2 linked regions of the Callithrix jacchus genome follow. The protein of the gene in region 1 interacts with the protein of each later gene in a pairwise test. Links are inferred from orthologs where the notes say so. Each region holds a gene or a part of one and is shown on either strand. Other genes may lie near its edges.

The links.
Region 2: the proteins of CAMK2B (region 1) and RAP2B interact in binary tests that used the Homo sapiens proteins (3 or more experiments, as listed by UniProt). The two-hybrid records come from large-scale screens. The link is inferred for Callithrix jacchus from reciprocal best matches to the Homo sapiens genes CAMK2B and RAP2B.

Annotation. Positions count from the first base shown.
Region 1 is NC_133512.1:12,319,224-12,323,362, forward strand, and holds part of CAMK2B (calcium/calmodulin-dependent protein kinase type II subunit beta), read right to left. Parts: intron 3,702-4,139; coding exon 3,599-3,701; intron 3,513-3,598; coding exon 3,429-3,512; intron 2,861-3,428; coding exon 2,766-2,860; intron 2,548-2,765; coding exon 2,425-2,547; intron 2,014-2,424; coding exon 1,930-2,013; intron 1,029-1,929; coding exon 986-1,028; intron 1-985. UniProt on the Homo sapiens protein: Calcium/calmodulin-dependent protein kinase that functions autonomously after Ca(2+)/calmodulin-binding and autophosphorylation, and is involved in dendritic spine and synapse formation, neuronal plasticity and regulation of sarcoplasmic reticulum Ca(2+) transport in skeletal muscle.
Region 2 is NC_133518.1:32,250,350-32,255,049, forward strand, and holds RAP2B (ras-related protein Rap-2b), read right to left. Parts: upstream 2,942-4,700; 5' UTR 2,501-2,941; coding exon 1,949-2,500; 3' UTR 477-1,948; downstream 1-476. UniProt on the Homo sapiens protein: Small GTP-binding protein which cycles between a GDP-bound inactive and a GTP-bound active form. Involved in EGFR and CHRM3 signaling pathways through stimulation of PLCE1.

The DNA.
Region 1 (4,139 bases):
GGGCGAGGTAAGGGAAGAAAAGAGACAAAGGAAGCAGAAGAAGATTAGAGTTAAAGTTTAGGTGACAGATGGTTCCAGAATCCTTTGCTCGAGAGAATAGAAACAGGATTGGACTGATTGACACGGAAAAGCATTTGCCTCCTTTCTCCTTAGAAACCCCAGTGGGGGCTTCTCATGCCGAAGGGCGCGGTGGGCACACAGCAGACAGGACAGTCCTATTAGTGTTGGTGTGACCGTGTGCACGCGTTCCCGGCAGTACAGCATCACAGCAAAAGTAACAGGATGGGGGAGGGCTGGGGAGTGCCAAATGCAAACGTACAACAAGAGAGACGGATCACAGACGCTCGCACACTGAGTGTTGGACGACGGAGAAGCCACGGGCACAGCTTGTCCAGGCCTGGGCTGCCGGCTCCACTCTGGGGCTAACCTCATGCCCCAGATGGGTCTGCCAGTGCCCTGGGCCTCGGGGGTCTATAACAGACCCCCCTCCCCCAAGAGAATTTGCTTCCCAACCACTCATCCTGAGCGGCCGGGGCAGGAAGCTACAGCTCATCCAGAACTTGGAAGGAGGCCCCTGAGCCTCCCGCATCACCCCGCATCCCTCTGCCCACCTCCTGCACAAAACACACTGCTCAGAGCACTCAAGATGACAAGGAGGCCACACAGATGTCCGACAGACGCCTGAACAGACACACGCGACGCTGCGAGCCCCAGTGAGTGGCACAGATGCTCGCGTTCAGGGGGTGGAGGGACACAGACCCCGCATGAAGGTGATGGGCTGTGGGGCAGGACCCTGTGGTGTCGCTCAAGGAGGGAGCCCAGCGGGGCCAAGTGGGCAGTGGGTGTCAGAACCGAGGGCAGACTCGGAGGGCAAGGGCGGGCCTGCCGCAGAGGAGGAGGGGGGAACTGGTGAGGAAGGAGGTGCTCTCCTGCATGGGCTGCAGGGAGCGGCCAGCGCCTGTCTCCCTGGAGAAGAAAGGCTCACCTGAGAAATTCCGTGTGGCCAGCATGGTGGTGAGGATGGCCCCCTGGGGAGAGACACAGATAAAATGGAGGCTGTGTCGCCAGTGTTCTCTGCTGGCTTCTGGCCAGCATAAGACCCCCGTCCACCTGCCCAGACGCCCAGCCTCATGGGCACCTGTAGGACATGACCTCAGCCTTCCAAAGAGGCAAGAGCTCCAGGAACCCAGCAGCCGCACTGAAATAAATCACCTGTTTCCAGAATTACACAGACCCTGGACCTAAACCTGTGGACCAACTATAGCTTCTAACTGCTTCAAGATCCCTCAGGGGTTGCCAGAACAGCTGGTCACCACGGCAGCTCCTCTGGGGTTCGGTTCCCTGACAGCTCCCTTCTTTTCCTGGTAGGCTCAGAACAAGGGCAGCAGTCCTGGGGGTTCCAGGGAGAACTGCGCAGAGACCAGCAGAGGGCACTCAGGCAGCAAGCCCCAGCCCGGAGTCCACGCAGAGAGGGACTGCCCAGGTGCGGCTGAGCCAGCCCTGGCCAAAGCAAGCAGGTCAGATACCCTACTGGTGTCCACCTCCCTCCCTGACCTCCCCCAGCCCACCCAACTCTGCTCTCCCTCCCAAACCTGTCTGAGCCGGAAGCTTCAGACTCACTTGTACTAAAGCGTATGTGTGACTGCCAGGGGACATGTGCTGCCTGCAGAGCCCGCAACAAGTGCTTTAAGACAATCCCTCCAAGGGGTGCTCCGAGGTGGCACAGACGACTAGGAGGGGCCGCGCCTGCTCCAGGGCACCTCTGGACTGAGTTCACCTGATGCATCTGGTCTGGGACTTGCTAACACTCAGTCCTGGGGGTAGCAGCAGCCCCTCGGTCTGCCCGGACCCCTCCAAGGCCCCACCACTCCAGCCCAGGGGGACACAGGAAAGCATGGCAGTGCCGGAGACTAGGGGCCAGGGCCTTACCTTGAGCTTTCTTCTGGCATTGAACTTTTTCAGACACTCCACTGTCTCTTGTCTGTGCATCATAGAAGCTACCGTGGAGCGTTGCTGTGGGGAAAGGGTGGTCACATGGCAGCCAGGAGCCCGAGGCCCAGGGGAGAGGCCGGGGCAGCAAGGTTTGCAGTACCCAAGGGTACCCACGTGATCAGCCACCATTGCAGCAAGGGCTGTGTGTCCCCACCTGCCTGGGACTTCCCTTGCCTCGCCCACTCTGTCTCTCACAGACAGGACTGCAGTTGGGAGGAAGGGACGACTGCTACCCTCCAATGTCCTCCAAGCCCCAGGCCTCACAAACGTGCCGGTGCATTCCAAGCCAGAGGCCACAAGGAGCACCAGGGGACCCAGGGGAGGTCTTGGATGTCAGGAATAGGACCCTCTGGGGGCCCTCGCCAGGGGAGTGGTCCGAGGCCATCTCCACTAGGAGTCCCCTCCCCGCTGCGGGCATCAAGGGCGACTCACGCAGACCCACGGGTGCTTCAGGGCCTCATGGGCTGTGATGCGCTTGGCAGGGTTGATGGTTAGCATCTGGTTGATGAGGTTTTTGGCTTCAGGAGTGACAGTGTCCCACTCGGGGGATGGGAACTGCAGAAGGAAACAGTGCCCATGCCAGGCCTGAAGCCCCCTCTTGGGCAGGGGCCAGAATTATCCAAGGGGCTTCATCTCTGGCCATGAGTCTGGGACAGCAGGACCCAGGACCTGGCCATAGGTGGCTTCACCTCACTCCTGGCCTCTTCCCATGCTGCCCTCACCCAGCCACACCCAGAGGAAGGGAGCACTCAGAGCGGGGCTGGTGCACTCACGTCATAGGCGCCGGCCTTGATCTGCTGGTACAGCTTGTGCTGGTCCTCGTCCCAGAAGGGTGGGTAGCCCACGAGCAGGATGTACAGGATCACCCCTGTGGACAGGGCCTGTGAGCACCCTGGCCACTCACAGGATGCCACCATCCACGGAGCCCATGCCCTGTGCCCTCACTGCCTGGCTCCTGTGGCCCTGGGAGGGCACTGGGGTCCCTAGCATTCCTTTGCCCCCACCTGTGCAGCAGACACTGGGGCAGAAAGGCACAGCCAGTCCCCATACCCTGCCCCACACCCACACTATCACAGGGATGGCGGTGACACCAACCCCCTCTGCTGCTCCCCCACCTCTGTGGTAGGTGACCCTGGCCCAAGGAGGTGGCCCTGCCCATGCCCGACAGCCCCTGACCTCTCCTCTCCACTCCCGTCCTCCCATCACACTTCTGGACCAGACCTCTGCTGAGCGCAGGCGAGCACTGGGGTGCACCAGGGTATGTGAGCAATTCTAACCTGGGTGGGAAGGGGGCTCCCGGCTGTGTAGGCAGACCCCCTCCAGGGCAGCTCAAGGGCAGGCCTGACGCAGATAAACCCAGATCAGAGCAACGTGTGCTGGTCACTGCATGCTCCAGGATGTAGGCCCGCCCCACCCCCACTCGGGCCAGGCCTCACCACATGCCCAGATGTCCACGGGCTTGCCATATGCCTCTTTGCGAAGGACCTCAGGGGACAGGTAGCCTGGTGTGCCAGCGAACCCTGGAGAGAGGAGGCCACGAGGGGCTGTCGGCACCACTGCTTGCTCTGCCGACTGCCAGCCAACACCTCCTGCCCCTGGCACTCACCAAACCATGCCTGCTGGTCCCCCTGCACCTCGATAGCCAGGCCGAAGTCCGCCAGCTTCACTGCAGCCCCTTTGCACTTGCTGGCCAGGAGCAGGTTCTCCGGCTGCAGGGAGGGGACCCGCACAAGGATGCACGTTGTTTAAACCCGGAGGTGTTACGGGGGTGGGTCATAAAACAGAGAGAACAGTGGTTTGCAAGAGACAGATGCACAGGTCTGAGCTCTGCCCCATAGTGTCTGCAGGGCACGGCTGAGCCTTTACCCCAGAGTTTCAGTTGCTGGGCCTGCAAGCCCACAGCCCCTCTGTCCCTGGGGACAGGGACAGCAGCTCTGGCCTTTTAGACGAACGTTGGCTCTCAGCCTGAGCTTGGATCCCCATACCCTAGAAGGGCAATCTGGGGGCCATGTGGATCAAAACCACAAGCAAACTGAGAGTTCCCACAGCCCGGGGCTGACTACGCAGTGGCTGGGGGCTCCCGTGGCCCTTGGACTCCCACTGGCTGAGGGGCTGCAACAGCCCTCCCTCCCCTCCCTGTTTACCAT
Region 2 (4,700 bases), on another chromosome or scaffold:
TGCAAAAAACATCACTAGGTATGACTTCAGAATTGAAAACCATCTTTCCCAAATACATTTTTGACATGACATGTAATATAAATGGGGGAAAAAAGGAAGAAAAAAATTAAAAGTGCCATCCTACTTTGCCAGATGGATGGTTACTTTCCCAGATCTAAGGCAATATTAATAGCTGAGTTCTCTTGTTCCCTACCCACAATGAGGTAAACTGTTCCATGTCAGATCAGATTCAAAATACCTGTTCATCTTCTAATCAGATGGGAATGGCCATACCCAGGGCTTCCTTGACCTTGATGATTTTCTCCAAACTTAAGAAGTTGGGAGTAATGTCATCCAACTTATCACTGAGACACTTCTGTCTTCAAAATTTGACAAATAGCTCTGGAGAGTATCTTGCACCTACCCCATCCACCTCAGCTATGATACTGTATTAATCACTGAATATGAAACACAGAAACACAAACAATAGTTTTGGATTTGTTTCTTTAAAAATGACATTTGTATTAAAAGTCTTAAAATGAAGAGACAATGATTAAACGCATGAAATTAAAAATTACAATTAGTTAGAATTGGTACATCACAACAGTAAAATTTTGCTCTTTGCTTCTGGAGGAACACCCTATAACAGGTAATAAAAAAATTAAAAATAATATAAAAGGGGAGCTAGATACCTGAAAATTTAAACAAAATGAAGCAAAAAAAAAAAAAAAAAAACAAATTCATTGCAAAAGATGGAAATTACATTTTAAAGGCTGAAAATAATAAAGAAATTCACTAAACAACAGGCCCTATTGTCCTGGCTCCTTCAGAAAGATTACTGAAAGGAAACTGGGAAGTGGTTTGGGGGAATAGCAGATTGTGGGATATGGTGGGAAGTTCACAGGTTGGCACCGGCTGGAACAGCTGAGTTTTGAAGGCACTCTGCAGACACAGGGGTGCTGGGGGCCCTGAATCACATTTACAAAGTCTTTGTACTGTATTTTAAAAAGCTAGTCATTAAAATCGGTTACTGCCAACCAAAAAAACAAAAACAAAAAGGCTAAACTCATACACATACACACACACCACACACACACACCACACACATACCATAGTACACACGAAAATGTGCAGATCTGTAACATTTTTTTCACAGCTGATTAAAAAAAAATACTACCGTTCTCCCCCAGATTCCCCTTTGATACAGTAGGTAAACAAAATAGATTTTTTTTTTCCACAAATATCAGCAGACACTTTCTGGCACCCCACACTGTATTGGCATCAGTGTTAACAGTCCCAGTTCAGATGTGCAATACTTCAGATTGGATACACTGTAACAAGAATCCAACTTTGCATAGACATCCTCAGAATCGCAATCAGTCATGGGGTTGCCCTTCCAAGCTGGCAGAAAAGGAACCCGATCTTAATTTCCAGCTACTCCTGGAAAACAAGGAAAAAACAAAAGTTTCTTCCTCTCCTGCTCCTTCATGTGGTTCTCCCGGACTTCCTTCCATGTATTTAAAACTTGAAACTAGAAAAACGGTTGTTGACCAAAAAAAGAAAAAAGAAAAGAAAAACCCTTTCTACCTTCTCCCCCTCCTTTTCCTCCACACCTCTCCCCGGTTTTTTTCCCCCAGGCTGAAACTTTTGCTTGGTGAGTGTCAGGCTGCCGATACTGCGCCCTAACGGCTACTTAAACGGGGAAATATGCATCAACCAAAATCAGGGAGAAACGTACATGCTGCAAAGAGCCACATTTCCACCAGAGTATCGGCTGGGAAGGACGGGACACCCCCTCAAGCACAGGGTGGAGGCAGGGGCCGCCGGCCGCGGAGGCCAGCAGGGCTCCCAAGAAACCCTGCCCAATGCAAAGTGGTCTCCAATCTCAAAGCAAGAAAGAAATCACATTTAGAGAGTCGGATGCGTTTGGCTTTTGTGCGCAGAGCGCGGCCGGCGCGCGGCAGCCGCCTCAGAGGATCACGCAGGCCGAGCAGCAGCCCTCATCGCCGTTGGGCTGCGCCGCGTAGTTCATCTGCCGCACGATCTCCGCAAACAGCTCGTCTACCGAGGCTTTGTTTTTGGCCGACGTCTCCATGAAGGGGCAGCTCCACTCCTCAGCCAGGGCCTTGCCCTCGCCGTACGAGACCTCGCGCTCGCCCTCCAGGTCCACCTTGTTGCCCACCAGGATCATGGGCACGCGCTCGTACCGCTTCACGCGGATGATCTGGTCCCGCATGGGCTTGATGTCCTGGAAGCTCTGCTGGTTGACGAGACTGTAGACCAGGATGAAGCCCTGGCCGTTCTTGATGTACAGGTCCCGCATAGATGCGAACTGCTCGGTGCCCGCCGTGTCCAGGATCTCCAGCACCGACGGCGACGAGTCCACCTCAATCTCCTTGCGGTAGAAGTCCTCGATGGTCGGGTCGTACTTCTCGATGAAGGAGCCCGTCACGAACTGCACCGTGAGCGCGGACTTGCCCACGCCGCCCGAGCCCAGCACCACCACTTTGTACTCTCTCATGGCTCCGTCAGCGCTCCGGCCCCGACGGGGCTGCGCGCCGGGGAAGGCTGGGCTTGGCTGCTGGACTTCTTTTCCCCTTCCTCAGCTCCACAGGAAAAACCCAGGAGAGAGTAGCCCAGAGAAGAACGCAAGGCAGAAACCACCGAGCGGGGGCCGGGCGCCGGGCCGGCCGGCGGCGGCGTGTCCCTGGGGCGCGGGTCCGGGCCCCGCAGCAGTCCGCGGCGGCAGCAGCAGCAGCCCGGGCAGCGAACCGGGAGGACAATGCCCGCAGCCTGCGCGAGGCGACGGCAGAAGCTCCTCGCTGCAGCAGCCCGGGAGGGCGGTGAGGCGGTGGCGGCTGGCTGCGGAGGTGGCTGCTAATTGCGCGTCGGGCCGGGACGCGCGTGGCATGAGTCCCCACGGAACGTGCGCCCACCACCGCGGCCCATCGCGCTCTCTCCCGCAGCCTCTGCTGGGCGAGGGCTTCCTATTCGCCGCGCGCAACCCGGCCCTCCCCGCCCCGGCGAGCATGCCCAGTGCGTTCCGACCGCGCCTTGCCCGAGCGGCCGCTCCTGGTTTTCCGCGGGGCCGTGGGCGGGGCTCCGGATTTGGGTCCTGTTTTGGGAGCGGCGCGAGTCTAGGAACTGGCTAGGAGATGGGGTGTGTGTGCGAACAAGGGGGCGAGGAAAGTGCATAAGGAGCAAGCAGGCCGCTTTCTTTTACAGCTATGGGAGTGGTGCACAAGGGCGGCGGCTCTGCGAGAAGCATGTGGGCGCCGCGGGCCGCCTCAGGGATGGAGTAGGCTGTGCTTCTGCCAACTCCCGTTATCAAAGGCCCAGGGACGCCATTCACCCAGCCCCGGGCGGGCGTGTCTGGGGGCCGGAAACCCGAAGGCTTGTGGGTGCCGTGGAATGCACGCGCAGCCGGCGGAGCGTCCCTGCCCCACAGATTTTTCTAAACCGTTCGCCACAGAAACGCTACTCTGCCTTCTCTGTGCACTGCAGCCTTGGACAAAGAAAACGGGAGGTACTCCAGGCCTCAAATACTACCCCGACTAGGCAAAGGGTAGCTTGTGGTACCTGCAGCTCTCCGGGAGCAGGGTCCCTCGGGTCCTACCCATCTCCCTGCTCGGCTGCGGTCAAAACCCGGAGACCGGATCACACCCCAATCCAGAAGTCTCGTGGCCCCCACAGTTCAGGGCATGCTCAGTCGCGGAGCGGGTTTTGGGGCTTGGAAGTAGGAAGCTTTTGCACCACACACCCACACTGTAGCTCAAATTACCTCTCCGAGACTCCGCACTCATTGGTCCCGGGGCGCGAGTCTCACACTCCTATGTGTTGCTCATTGGCTGCCGCCAAGGCTCTGTCAGTTTGGGCCGCTTCATTGGCTAAAAAGTAGCCTCCGCTTGCGATTGGTTATTTTTAGAGATTGAGCGGAGAGGCAAAGGCACAGCTGTTCTTTCTCCGCTGCTCCTCCGCCCCCTGCCTCCCACTTCCCCAACCCTGGCGTTTTGAAGTAAAAGTGAAAAAGTAAGAGGCATTTAGGCGGAGAGCTCAGAACTAAATATAGTTCTTTGTTGGTGTTTTCGAGAGAGTCTGACTCCTCACTTTCCAGTCAGGACTGCCCCTTACAGGGAGCACAAAGGGCTAATTACAGGTTTTGGTCCGCAAGGGACCGCAGAGTTGCCAAGTTTTTTTGCTGGAAGTGGGAGGGGCGAGGAGCTGAAATGGGCCACTTGGAATTCGTTTCACCCAGAGGGGTTGGGGAGTGTCCAGGCTTGCCTCAGAGGAAGCGTCTCCGCTGGCGGGCCGGGCAATTGCTAGACTTGGCTGGGCAGGCGCTCCCGGGAGGTGCGAGGGAGATGCCCCGACTTGTCCGGAGTCTCCCTAGCTCCTCGACGGGGAGGGATGTCAAGACCTGTCTGCAGGCTGAGCGCGGCGGCGCACACCGCGGGTGCGGGGTGGGGAGGGTGGCGGCGGAGCTGCGTCAGCGCTGGCTCCCAGTCCTGCCTATTTTTTTTTTTTTCTTTTTAACCCGATGTCACTGCTTTCTGGTTTCACCGACCGCATCGGAGGGTGAACCTGGGCACTGCTAACACTCGGTTTCAGTTCCTAGTGCCGCCGTGACTCACGCTGCGTTTGCTGGTTAACCTTCTCTAAACCCCTGGCCCCAGCTTCTTTCCAGGCAAGTCCACAGCGTGAAGTCCTTGGGCACAAAACCG